Linked DNA regions of Xenopus tropicalis. The protein of the gene in region 3 binds, or shares a complex with, the protein of the main gene of each other region. Links are inferred from orthologs where the notes say so. Each region holds a gene or a part of one and is shown on either strand. Other genes may lie near its edges. The genes, in order: kcnip2, kcnip1 and kcnd2.

Region 1 (3,655 bases), on a different chromosome or scaffold from region 3:
ATACAAATTGAAGGCCCAGTTGAGCTTGTCATCTATAGTCCCCCGTAAGATCACCGATAACCCCGCTACAAAATCCTGTAGGAAAGAAAACAGAACAGTGATATATAGGAGAACAAAGTAATAAACATATGATCCATTAAGCAGTATAATGTATTCAACTCCTTTATAATCAGATGTTTGATGTATTAGGAACAATAGGTTCTGACAGAGCGTTTCTCTTAAACGAAATGAAGAGCTTTTCTAAAAGATACGCCTTTCTTTTTTAGACATTATGACAACCAGAGCACATTTTTTTCTGAGAGAGAGTCAAGTAAATGGAGTGCTGGCTTTCTAGGGAATACCAATAATAGAATTCTTCTACAGTTACGAGAATCATTTGGCGACTGAGTCTAATTAGAAAGCCCTTTCACTCCCCACATGGGATTTGCACAGTCTTTTTAGAACTTGTCCTCCAAGCATTGACACACATTTAAAATAGAAAAGTTGCAGTTCTTTTACTCACGGAACAAAAGGCACATACCTCAAAACTGACAGAGCCGCTGTGGTCAGTGTCAAATGCGTTGAAGAGAAAATGAGCGTACATGCTGGAATCTAGAACATAACGCAAAGCAGACAGACATCATTTGAGATAGAAAGCAAAGGAGAATCAGGAAATGCCCCTACCATACCCTATTTATAATGCAGTTTTTGGGATAGTTCAGTGATTCAGACCAACTGCACTTTGGTATTTAAAGGAGAAGGAAAGGTGGAACCACTGGGGGTGCCAAAAGTTCTTCTTAAGCACCGGCTGCACATGTGCAGTACAGTGAAAAGCTTTAAAAATTGGCTTTTTGATTCTACTGTGCATGCATGGGCCCTGCGATCGCAGCAAAATGATAAGGAAGGAAGAGGATTGCCCATCTCCAGGTACCCCAGGCTGGTGCGATTTTCTGTTAATAGAAGCACCAGCCTGGGGTATCAGACAAATGATCTTACCCACAGGGGGTGCCTACGATTTGGCACCACACAGTGATTTTAACTTTCCTTCTTCTTTAAAGGAGAATAAAAGTTTGAGAAGAACCCAGCCCCCTCCTGAACTGCACCACTAAAGTTGGCAGCCATATATCTCCCCCCTTTAGGTTCCCTTCATTCTCATAGTAGCATTCAGCAACTCTCTCTCTCATCCTTTATTCCTCATCGTTCTGCCTTTCCTGCCCCCCACAGGTATATGAACAGCAAGTCAGCACAGGGCCAGAGTTAGAGAGTTACACCCTAGGCATATGCCTCTTATACACAACCCTAGTTCCTGTCCTGGTCAATAGGAGAATTTTCAAAAATATGGCCGTCATTCTGCTCCATGAAGTGTTAAACACCCCTTGACAATGTTACAAGTGGGGATTAAGGACCGATCCTAATCTTTAATCAACATAGATATATTGTTAAATATGAATACTGCATATGAAATGTTTAGTGTTTGTGTATCGAGTGTTAACTACAATTGGCTTTATGTCTGCAAGGAAAACTGTTGTGACAAGGACAATTCTTTGTATGAAACATAACCACAAAACTAGGAGTTTTTATATGAGTCAGTATAACTGTCAGCATTTGGTTTAGTGATTATAAATGTCATTTTAGCCATTAGAGAAAACCTGCCTCTAAGTAGGTTACAAATTCCCTGTTATCACCAGTTTGCCTGTACATAATAAGATTAATAATTATATAGGTAATTGAATCCATTAGCTAAATCCTGCTCATAAATCGGGTGGGTATTGCCTTTTATCACCAGCCTGCTTGCAGGTAATTTGATTATTCATTATATGTGTAATAGGCACCAAATATCATTATATCTTTCAAGCTACAGTTAATGGGTGTAAAAGCAAAACCATGCTACACACGGGGTTACAGGGGATGAACCTGACCCCACAAACCAGACTGGAACAGTCTCTCTGAATACAAATCACTGTCATTAAACATGAAGCACAGCACCTTCTGTATATTCTGAATGTGGCATTTATAGCATCTGGGATTGGCAAAATCTATTTTAGGGGGCTGTCTGAAATCTAATTTAATAACCCTTAAGATAGATAATATGGATACTTTGTGTAATTTTGAAATGAGTTACCTTTTGGCATCTATCTGCAGTGTCACATAAAACAGATGGAACACAAAGTACTGAAAATTGCTCAGTGGAAATTACTTTCAGAATTGTCTCTTTGGGGGTGGCTGAGCTACCATTTGTAGGGCTAGCAACTAGATAGTGCTGGGGATTTGCCCACCTTCAGATCCGCTCGCTTGGCAACATCACCTATGGGTGGGCGATATTGGGAGAATCCAGGCTAATTTGGCCCTGGGGCCAAACGATCGAATTATAACGACGGGTATAGGCAAAGTCGGTTCCAACTAGATTTTTTAACTTGCCGATTTCAGGCCAGATATCAGTCGGGCAGTCCGTCGGGAGTGCCCATACACGGGCCGATTAGCTGCCAAATCGGTCTAAGGGACTGATATAAGCAGCTAGAATCAGCCCATGTATGGTGACCTTTAGGGCTCTGGTACACGGGGAGATTAGTCGCCCGCGGCAAAACTCCCTGCTCGCGGGCGACTAATCTCCCCGAGTTGCCTTCCCCCTGCCATCCCACTGGCGAACATGTAAGTCGCCGGCGGGATGGCAGACGCGGCAGCGCGATTTCGCGCAAATCGCAGGGGGAAGGCAACTCAAGGAGATTAGTCGCTCGCGAGCAGGGAGTTTTGCCGCGGGCGACTAATCTCCCTATGTACCAGAGCCCTTAGGGTCATTTACACCAGAGACAGGGTACAAAGTGCAAAACACAGTCAGGATTTTAGATTTTGCACCCTGCCTTCCATGTCATATGAATTGGCACATGTCTTTCATTTAGAAACAAAGAGACCTTTGGTCGTCCACATATATAAGCTGTGCCTTGAATTGGCAGTGCTATATTCATCTTTTAAAGATGGTATCAGTACAGAATTATACCGTAAACCTACTGACCGCAATAACATCCTATCACCAGATAGCTTTCACTGACCCCATATCTTGAGAGCAATTCCAAAGGAGGGCAAAAAGGGTTTGCTCTACAGCAACCATATCAGAAAGCAGCTATCAACTTGATAACCAAGTTTAATGATAAGGGAGGGGTATGATTACAATTTTATTACACAGGTTGTTAAACCAGTAAGACAAGAGAAAAGACAAAGCCTGTAAAAGAAAGAGGAGCTAGAACAGAATACTGTTTGTATCAAAATATAGCACCTAGAGCAGGAAAGTGGAAAATATCATTAAATGATATTGACCCATAGTACTACAAGATAAGACATTGGACAAATTGTTTAGTGACCTTCCCTTGTTCAGTTACGCTAGAGGCAGGACACTTGGAAATATGTTGTGTTCAGCAGATTTAAGAAGCCCACTGAGTCGCCAAAGGTTTTGTCATTTTGTCAAAGAGTTTATGCTACTTGTGAAACTATGAATGCAATTTATTTAATTATTTAAGCCTTTGTGGTAAAGCATATGTTGGTCAGACAAAACAAGAAGTGAAAGAAAGGATTAAGGAACATAAATAAAATAAGACTCTTCCTTGCTCTAGACTGCTATTGTACAGTAATTTCCTGTGATAATCACCCACAAGCAGGGGGGCTTCTGGGGTCCTTGCCACCC
Region 2 (3,655 bases), about 37 Mb from region 3:
TGCGAACTTTGCGAACCCCATAGACTTCAATGAGAAGGCGAACTTTGAAACCTAGAAAAGCCATTTATGGCCAGAAAACTAATTTTAAAGTTGTTTAAAGGGTGCCACGACCTGGACAGTGGCATGCAGGAGGGGGATCAAGGGCAAAAATTTCTCTGAAAAATACGTTGTTGTAATCAGTAATCAGAAAATAAAAGCAGTCCTTACAAGGAATATTGGGTTACCGCAGATGAGATCAGAAGGACAGCTGCCCACAGCAGCTACATACAGAGCAGTAGAAAGTAGATTACTAGTCAGCAAAGCTACCTAAACTGTCCCTCAAACCCCTGCACAGCTCTCTCCCTATGCTAACTCATCAAGCACACACAGGCAGAATGTAAAATGGCTGCTGGGCTTCGGTTTATATATGGAAGGGAGTGGTCCGGGGGTGGTCCAGGAGGGAGAGCTGCCTGATTGGCTGCCATGTATCTGCTGGCTCTGGGGTGAGAGGTCAAAATTTGGCTCCAGCTAAGGCGAACCCAAAATTGCGAACATCGCTAAAAGTTTGCGAACTTGCGAACTTGCGAACACCCGATTTTCGTGCGAATTAGTTCTCCGGCGAACAGTTCGCTACATCTCTATTGAAGCGTTACAACCCTGCACTGTGTTACTGACATCAAGTTTACTTGATGCCAGTAACAAGGCTCTTTAATATACAGGTATGGGACCTGTTATCCAGAATGCTTGGGACATGGGTTTTTTTAAATAAGAGGTCTTTCAATAATAGTTTTATGGATAACGGGTTTCCGGATAACATATCCCATACCTGTATTTTATATGTAATAAAAGGTACTAAGTTTGCCCAGATGCAATAACCCATACAGGTAGAAGTTTCTGGTCACCAGCATCTTATTGGTTGCTATGGGTTACTACTACTTAGTGCCTTTTAATACATAACCCCCAAAGTTATGTTTTACTCTCACACTTGCTCCTGTTACAGTTAGTTGTTTTACTCTTTTGGTTCTTACTTAGGAAATGATGGATATAGTAAAAGCCATATATGATATGATGGGGAAGTACACCTACCCAGTCCTTAAAGAAGATGCTCCAAAACAACACGTAGAAGTATTTTTTCAGGTACAGTATATTGTTACAACTAATTTAATATCTACAAGTCCTTCTCCATCATGGATTTGGCTAACTTAGTCCAATTAAGGCCATACATGGTTGGCATATTTTTAAATCCCAGGTGCATGTGTTTACACCTATCAACACTGAATCTCATCTGCCACTTAACTGCCCTGTCTGCTGGCTTGTCCAGCTCTCCCTGTAAGGGAGATGTTACTAATAAGGCTTCCACGCTGACACAGTGCTTCTAGCCAGAATAGTCTTTGTGTCCACATACTATTTATTCCTATGGGATTTTTAGAAGTGTATTTATCAATGGATAACTTTCACCCATTGCTAAATACTCTTCTGAAAATCCCATAGGAATGAACAGAAAGTGGGCGAGTTTTTATGTATTAAGCTCTACACTCACATTTTGATAAACCTGCTCCTAAGTTTTGAAAAACTAAAACCAAATAATTTTGTTAATGGAAAGTGATAGAGGTTATGAATTATAAAAGTGTTATTTATTACTATACTCTTTATGCGTGTGTATTCTTACTAATGTTTTTAGCAGGAGATCTGTAATATTCACCGGCAGCATTTTATATTTCAGAAAATGGACAAAAACAAAGATGGCGTTGTAACATTAGATGAGTTCATTGAATCTTGCCAAGAGGTAATTTGTTTTGTTCCTAGTTAGGTACAGAATTGTGGAATTATCTGCATCACACTACAGTGCATATGTCTATGCTGGCACAGTGTTTACACTGTACTTCAGTACAATAAAGGAACCAAGTTCTGGAATTTAACATTTTGTAAAATGATCCACTTCTCTTAGACGTTTGTCAATTTCACACTGTAAATGTAGAATAATTGAACCCCACAATCCTTTAGAACAGGATCATACAAACACCAGACACAGAGTAGGGGCAAACAGACATCAATATTTGTACTGTAAATTAAGCCATACTGTATGTCTGATGTCATCTGTGACACCATCACTTATGTCATCTTTCATGTGACTTACGTGCAACCTTAACAGCACAGTTTGAGGTGTTTTGTAGCCTAATAAAAAGCTTTAAAGGAGCAGTTTAGTGTAAAAATGAAACTGGATAAAAGTGATAGACTGCGCAAAATAAAAAAATGTTAGTTAGTTAGCCAGTAATGGAATCTATAAGGGCTGGAGTGGATAAATGTCTAACATAATAGCCAGAACTCTACTTCCTGCTTTACAGCTCTCTAAGCTGTTAGCAGTCAGTAACCAATCAATGACTTGAGGGGGGGCCATATGGGACAAAACTGTTCAGTTAGTTTCCTTTTGAATCTGAACTAAATGCTCATAAACTAACTGAACAGTTATGTCCCATGTGCCCCCCCCCCCCCCCCAGTCACTGACTAACTAAGAGGCGCTAGAGAGCTGTAACCAGGAAGTAGAGTTCTGGCTATTGTGTTAGACATTTGCCCACTCCAGCCTTTATAGATTACATTTTTGCCTAACTATATAAGAAACATTTTTATTTTGCTCAGTCTATCCATTTTACCCAGTTTCATTTTAACACTGAACTGTTCCTTTAATTGTGCTTTAAAAAAATATGTGTGTGTTTGTGCACATTAACTGCAACAATAACTGTGCTGCACACTCAGAAGTTTGTTATTGGTGCAGAAATTATTGAAGGAAAAAACAACTTTCAGCTTGCCTTCCTCAGGGACAAACAAACATGGTTCCCAACCCTACAGGAACACACACACCCCATTCCCTTCTGTGCCGCGAAAGGTGCCATCAATAAGAGTTGAGAGGGAAACTACTATCCACTTTGCGGTGCTTGAAAAAAAAGCTCATAAACAAATAGAACTCATAAGCGTGAAATGTGTCAAGAAACACATATTATGAATAAATGATATAACAGTGTACAGAGCTAGAGAACAGTATTGTCTGGGGATTTACCTACAGTCCAAAAATAAAATGTTAGTAATGAAAAAACAGAGAAAAATAGAAAAAAGGCAATGAAAGATTAACTTCACCGTTGTGGGTGGCACGGTCCCCTAGACAGACCAACCCTCAGTCACATGATGTGTTGCAGAACACATTTATAAAATATGAGCATCAGGGTTCCATTAAGTCTAACATAGGCCACCCCTGGCCACACCAAGGACATGTCTCTGCCCGTTGTGCCAGTCCCACTGATAACAGCAGTATGATCTTCTCAATCATCTGATCAAAGAATGCCTGTGTTTTACCATACGGAACAATTCATGAACTTGGCTACACATTCTGTGTAATGTGACAGTTAGTTCGTAATCAGTTTAGCATTGTGAATTGGTCCCTAAGCTCAAGTAACTGACTGCTGCCCAGAACATGCATTGGGGCTGGTACAGAAGCCCAAATAATTAGATCCCGAGTGTGCAAAATATATATATATGCATATAGATCAACAGATATGAAATAGATATTAAAATAGATACAGTCAATGTTGCATTCCCAATTGTACCTCCAACTACCCCTTTCCACTACAGACTGCGCATTTGCTAATCTCGGAACAGATGGATACTCGGCTTCACCTTAGCT
Region 3 (3,655 bases):
AGGGTGCACTTTGTCCATGTTATTACATAACCTGTGTTAGTTTATTTTAATTAATAAAAGAAACTCAATTTAAATCAAGTAAATATTAAATGGTATAATAGAAAATTATATATATTTAGCTTTTTTATTTGAATGTAATATCTATATATATATATATAACATCTAAAGGCCAAAGGAGAAAATATTGGATAGAATAAATACTAAGATAATTTCTCTCTGAAGTACAGTATTTATAGTACAGTTTCAGGGGATAAATGAATACAATGCCTTCCCTTAATTGTTGCTCATAAATATTTTGGTTAAATTAGATGGAACTGTATATACTCTAGCATAGAGAAATGGCTTCACAGTGTATTTGGCATAGGACATTGCATTTCCGCTTATCATCATTTAAAACATGTTATCTATATATTTTTTTAATGATAGAGTACTGTACTTTGTTTTGGGATTTGGCCTTTTAATGGCAGAAATCAATAAAGCCACCATTTGGCCATATTTTGCACAATGAGCACATTTTTAGATGGTGTTAATAATGTAACCTTTTATAAAACCAGCTCTTGGTTGAAGTCTAATAAGCTTTACAACTTCATGGGGCTCTCCTTGGCTGCCCCTTTATCCACAAGAAAGGTTTAAAATGTGTTACACATATGAGTGTCCAATGTAAATGTTGAATTTTATCTATACACCATCTAAATCTGTGATCCAGGAGAAAATAGATGCAAGTCATAAGAACCCATTCATCAAGCTTTCTCCTACTGCTTTCTGCTCTGTTGGTCCTATGCTTTTCATACATTTTGTTCTTTTGTTTCTTAATATTCAGAGACAGTTTAAATTATCTTCATTTCACAATTGTTTAGAAATGTGAATTCTGACACAACCTGCACTACAAAACAATACAGATGAAGGAAAACATTTTTACAAGCATCCAGGACAAAAAAACAGTCGTTCTTCATGCATATTCAAATAACACAAAAAAGGGACTCAAAGTGGAAATCTTTCATTTTCAAATGTCATTAAGCTAATATAGCTGTCACCTTCTCAAAGTGATAATCCTTTAATGAACACAAAAAAAAAGAAAACCATGCCCTCACCAAAAGTAAATAGATCGGCCAATTGTTGTAAGTGTTGAAAAGCACTTATCTATACTCAATGTTGAATTTTCGAAATAAATTTTTGGATTCCTGATGTTGCAAATGGACAATTCATTATTGCAGTTGTTACTGAAACAACAACAGAAATTTAATAAATCCATATTCCTGTACAGCGGCTAACTCTGCCGTAATACCTTAATAAATCCTGTTTAGTTTCCAAAACAGTTCTGTTTGTTTTTGTTTAGCGACTGTAAACATTTTTCATCCTGTTGTTAGGAGAGCGCTGAAAGGGTCTTTTCACATAAAACAGTGTTTGGTGGAAACAGCTTCAATTATCTCAGATCTCTGCTCCGAAGGATGTTTGCATGCATTACAGATGTCATTTAAATAAGTACAAATAGGTTTGCTGCGCATGTATTCTTATACACATTACTTTATGCAAAGTTCATTGTTCCCTCTGGGGAAAAATGTTATCAAAATGTTTCCATTTCTGTAATGCTTTTTTTTTTCTCCCTAATACTCTCAGCGAGGGTGTTACGGTTTCATTTTTCATATAAAAATGTTGCATCTGAGAAAAAGCATCAATGGGGAACATTCATTGTGCTTATGTACTTAGTCACAGAGTTGTGGGTGCACTGGGAGATCTTGCATTGTCCCTGTACATTGTTTAGACCTGTTATTTTTTTAACGATTATGCAAATAAACTGCTGCTTGAAAAATCTTTTCCTTTGGAGCGGATTGTGGGGCTCATGTTGCATTTAATACAAAATCCTTCTGGTATGAAGTTTATAGAGCAGACACTCTTACAATGTTCCTTTGTGAGTAATCAGGGGATTCTGATCTGCCATCTTCCTCTGGTGTAGTCATTGGTGGTGTTGGGATGCTTATTACTGCTGTAGTCACATAAGGCTGCTCACAGTTTAACTTAACATTTCCTTCCACTTTTGCATTCAAGCTGGATCGGCTGGCACAAAGAGATAAGAGCATAGAAAAGTTAGACACCAATGCTCTGGATACTGCCAGACATTTAATTCAATATTGTGCTAATACATACATCTGGTAAACAAACCTTCTTTCATACATGTTAGAGAAGAGGTTGTCTCACATAGACTTTACTTTAATAAAATAAATCAAAATTGTAAAACATATATCCTTTTTCTCTGTAATAATGTAATAACAGTACCTTGTATTTGATACCAACTAAGATATAATTAATCCTTATTGCAGGCAAAACATTAAAATAAATAAATATTAAACTTTAAATAAACCGAATAGGTTTATTTTGCCTTCGATGAGATTTAATTCGATTTTAGTTTGAATCAAGTGCTAGGTACTGTTTTTAGGTACTGTTATTATTTCAGAGAAAAAAGGAAATCATTTCTGAAAATTGGAAAATAAACTGAGTCTATGGGAAATGTCCTTCCTGTAATTCGGAACTTTCTGGGTATTAATAATTAGTATCAATATTATTCTTTGTTTAATGAGCTACGGTTGTGGAAGTCCACAGAATCAATAGCATAGTCTTGTGCTGAAATAGCAGGGGGAGTTAAAACACAGGATCCCAGCTACCTTAACATATGCCAACGTGCATGATATACAAGTCTGGGAAGAGAAGCCAATAATGTAGAGCACATATTAACTGACTTTTCAAACTCAAACAAATTACAGGATTCAGGAAACAGTGAACATTTTAGCTTGCTTGGTGGGCCTGCAGTAATTCAGATTTGTGGGGTTTATTGGTTTATGAAATCTATTGTTAGGTTCAGCCTATTCTTTCTTTAATTCAACCACAATACACATTATTAAAGAAGGTTCCTGACCTGAGAGGAGACTTGACAAGTACGCAGTAGTGTATAAAAAGTCCATAAAATGAAAAATCCAAATTTGTAAAACTATATACGAGTATATCGACTGAGTATACCATAGAAAGCAGAAGACTTAAAGCATAATAACGCACAATGAAATCTAAGTGGATGTATGCAGTAAGCCATGGCTTACTTAGCTGGTATTCTCCCCAGCTATTAAAGGGGTGCTAACACATTCCTATCAATGATACATGCTACTCTTTCATGCAATCAACGCCCAGCCCAACATTACCCAAGGGTCTAACATTGCCTGACATCTTGCAAAGCAGAACACTTTGTCAGTAATGTGGTACTTTCACAACCCTCCTATAAGCTGAGGTACAATAGTACATCTTACTTAAGTCTTTACAAAGCCTGTGTGCAAGCAGATCTGACTCTGGGTCAGTATGTCAGAATGTTAGTCCCAAAGGCAGTGCTGGGCCTGGTACTGGTAATTTTACAAAGGACTTTATTAGTGGGACACAATTTATATCACTGATAGGCCTGTGTCAGTATCACTTTAATATATCTCAAAGTATACTTAGAAATGGCACATGCACAAATAAATTCTGAATAGCATATAATTTTGTTCCTTGGTGGCAGAACATATGTATTTTCATTACTGCTCTTTTAAATTCATTTTTATAACAGATAACTCATTCAGCATTTTTCATCAGTCCTAAGGTCACTATTCATAATACCCATGTAGTCATTTATTTC

What was found.
Region 1: the proteins of kcnd2 (region 3) and kcnip2 are in contact, whole or in part, in a cryo-EM structure (PDB 7UKH), measured with the Homo sapiens proteins. The link is inferred for Xenopus tropicalis from reciprocal best matches to the Homo sapiens genes KCND2 and KCNIP2. Residues at the interface, in NP_036413.1 of Homo sapiens: Val5, Ala7, Trp8, Leu9, Pro10, Phe11, Ala12, Arg13, Ala14, Ala15, Ile17, Gly18, Trp19, Met20, Pro21, Val22, Ala23, Ser24, Gly25, Pro26, Met27, Pro28, Ala29, Pro30, Trp55, Asp57, Arg61, Arg100; in NP_775283.1 of Homo sapiens: Arg112, Gly113, Phe114, Asn116, Glu117, Cys118, Val123, Phe128, Ile131, Tyr132, Gln134, Phe135, Phe136, Tyr144, Leu148, Phe152, Phe165, Leu169, Ile172, Leu173, Arg180, Trp183, Ala184, Leu187, Tyr188, Met201, Met205, Ile208, Met211, His228.
Region 2: the proteins of kcnd2 (region 3) and kcnip1 are in contact, whole or in part, in a cryo-EM structure (PDB 7E8E), measured with the Homo sapiens proteins. The link is inferred for Xenopus tropicalis from reciprocal best matches to the Homo sapiens genes KCND2 and KCNIP1. Residues at the interface, in NP_036413.1 of Homo sapiens: Ala2, Val5, Ala7, Trp8, Pro10, Phe11, Ala12, Arg13, Ala14, Ala15, Ala16, Ile17, Gly18, Trp19, Met20, Pro21, Val22, Ala23, Ser24, Gly25, Met27, Ala29, Pro30, Gln33, Arg35, Lys36, Arg37, Thr38, Gln39, Asp40; in NP_001030009.1 of Homo sapiens: Thr60, Arg62, Glu63, Val66, Leu67, Arg69, Gly70, Phe71, Asn73, Glu74, Phe85, Ile88, Tyr89, Gln91, Phe92, Tyr101, Leu105, Phe109, Phe122, Leu126, Leu129, Leu130, Lys137, Thr141, Leu144, Tyr145, Val162, Ile165, His185, Phe189.

The regions. Positions count from the first base shown.
Region 1 is NC_030683.2:31,291,815-31,295,469, forward strand, and holds part of kcnip2 (Kv channel-interacting protein 2), read right to left. Parts: intron 592-3,655; coding exon 521-591; intron 76-520; coding exon 1-75. UniProt on the Homo sapiens protein: Regulatory subunit of Kv4/D (Shal)-type voltage-gated rapidly inactivating A-type potassium channels. Modulates channel density, inactivation kinetics and rate of recovery from inactivation in a calcium-dependent and isoform-specific manner.
Region 2 is NC_030679.2:32,024,331-32,027,985, reverse strand, and holds part of kcnip1 (Kv channel-interacting protein 1), read left to right. Parts: intron 1-1,011; coding exon 1,012-1,116; intron 1,117-1,702; coding exon 1,703-1,765; intron 1,766-3,655. UniProt on the Homo sapiens protein: Regulatory subunit of Kv4/D (Shal)-type voltage-gated rapidly inactivating A-type potassium channels. Regulates channel density, inactivation kinetics and rate of recovery from inactivation in a calcium-dependent and isoform-specific manner.
Region 3 is NC_030679.2:69,236,113-69,239,767, reverse strand, and holds part of kcnd2 (potassium voltage-gated channel subfamily D member 2), read right to left. Parts: intron 2,056-3,655; coding exon 1,878-2,055; 3' UTR 1-1,877. UniProt on the Homo sapiens protein: Voltage-gated potassium channel that mediates transmembrane potassium transport in excitable membranes, primarily in the brain. Mediates the major part of the dendritic A-type current I(SA) in brain neurons.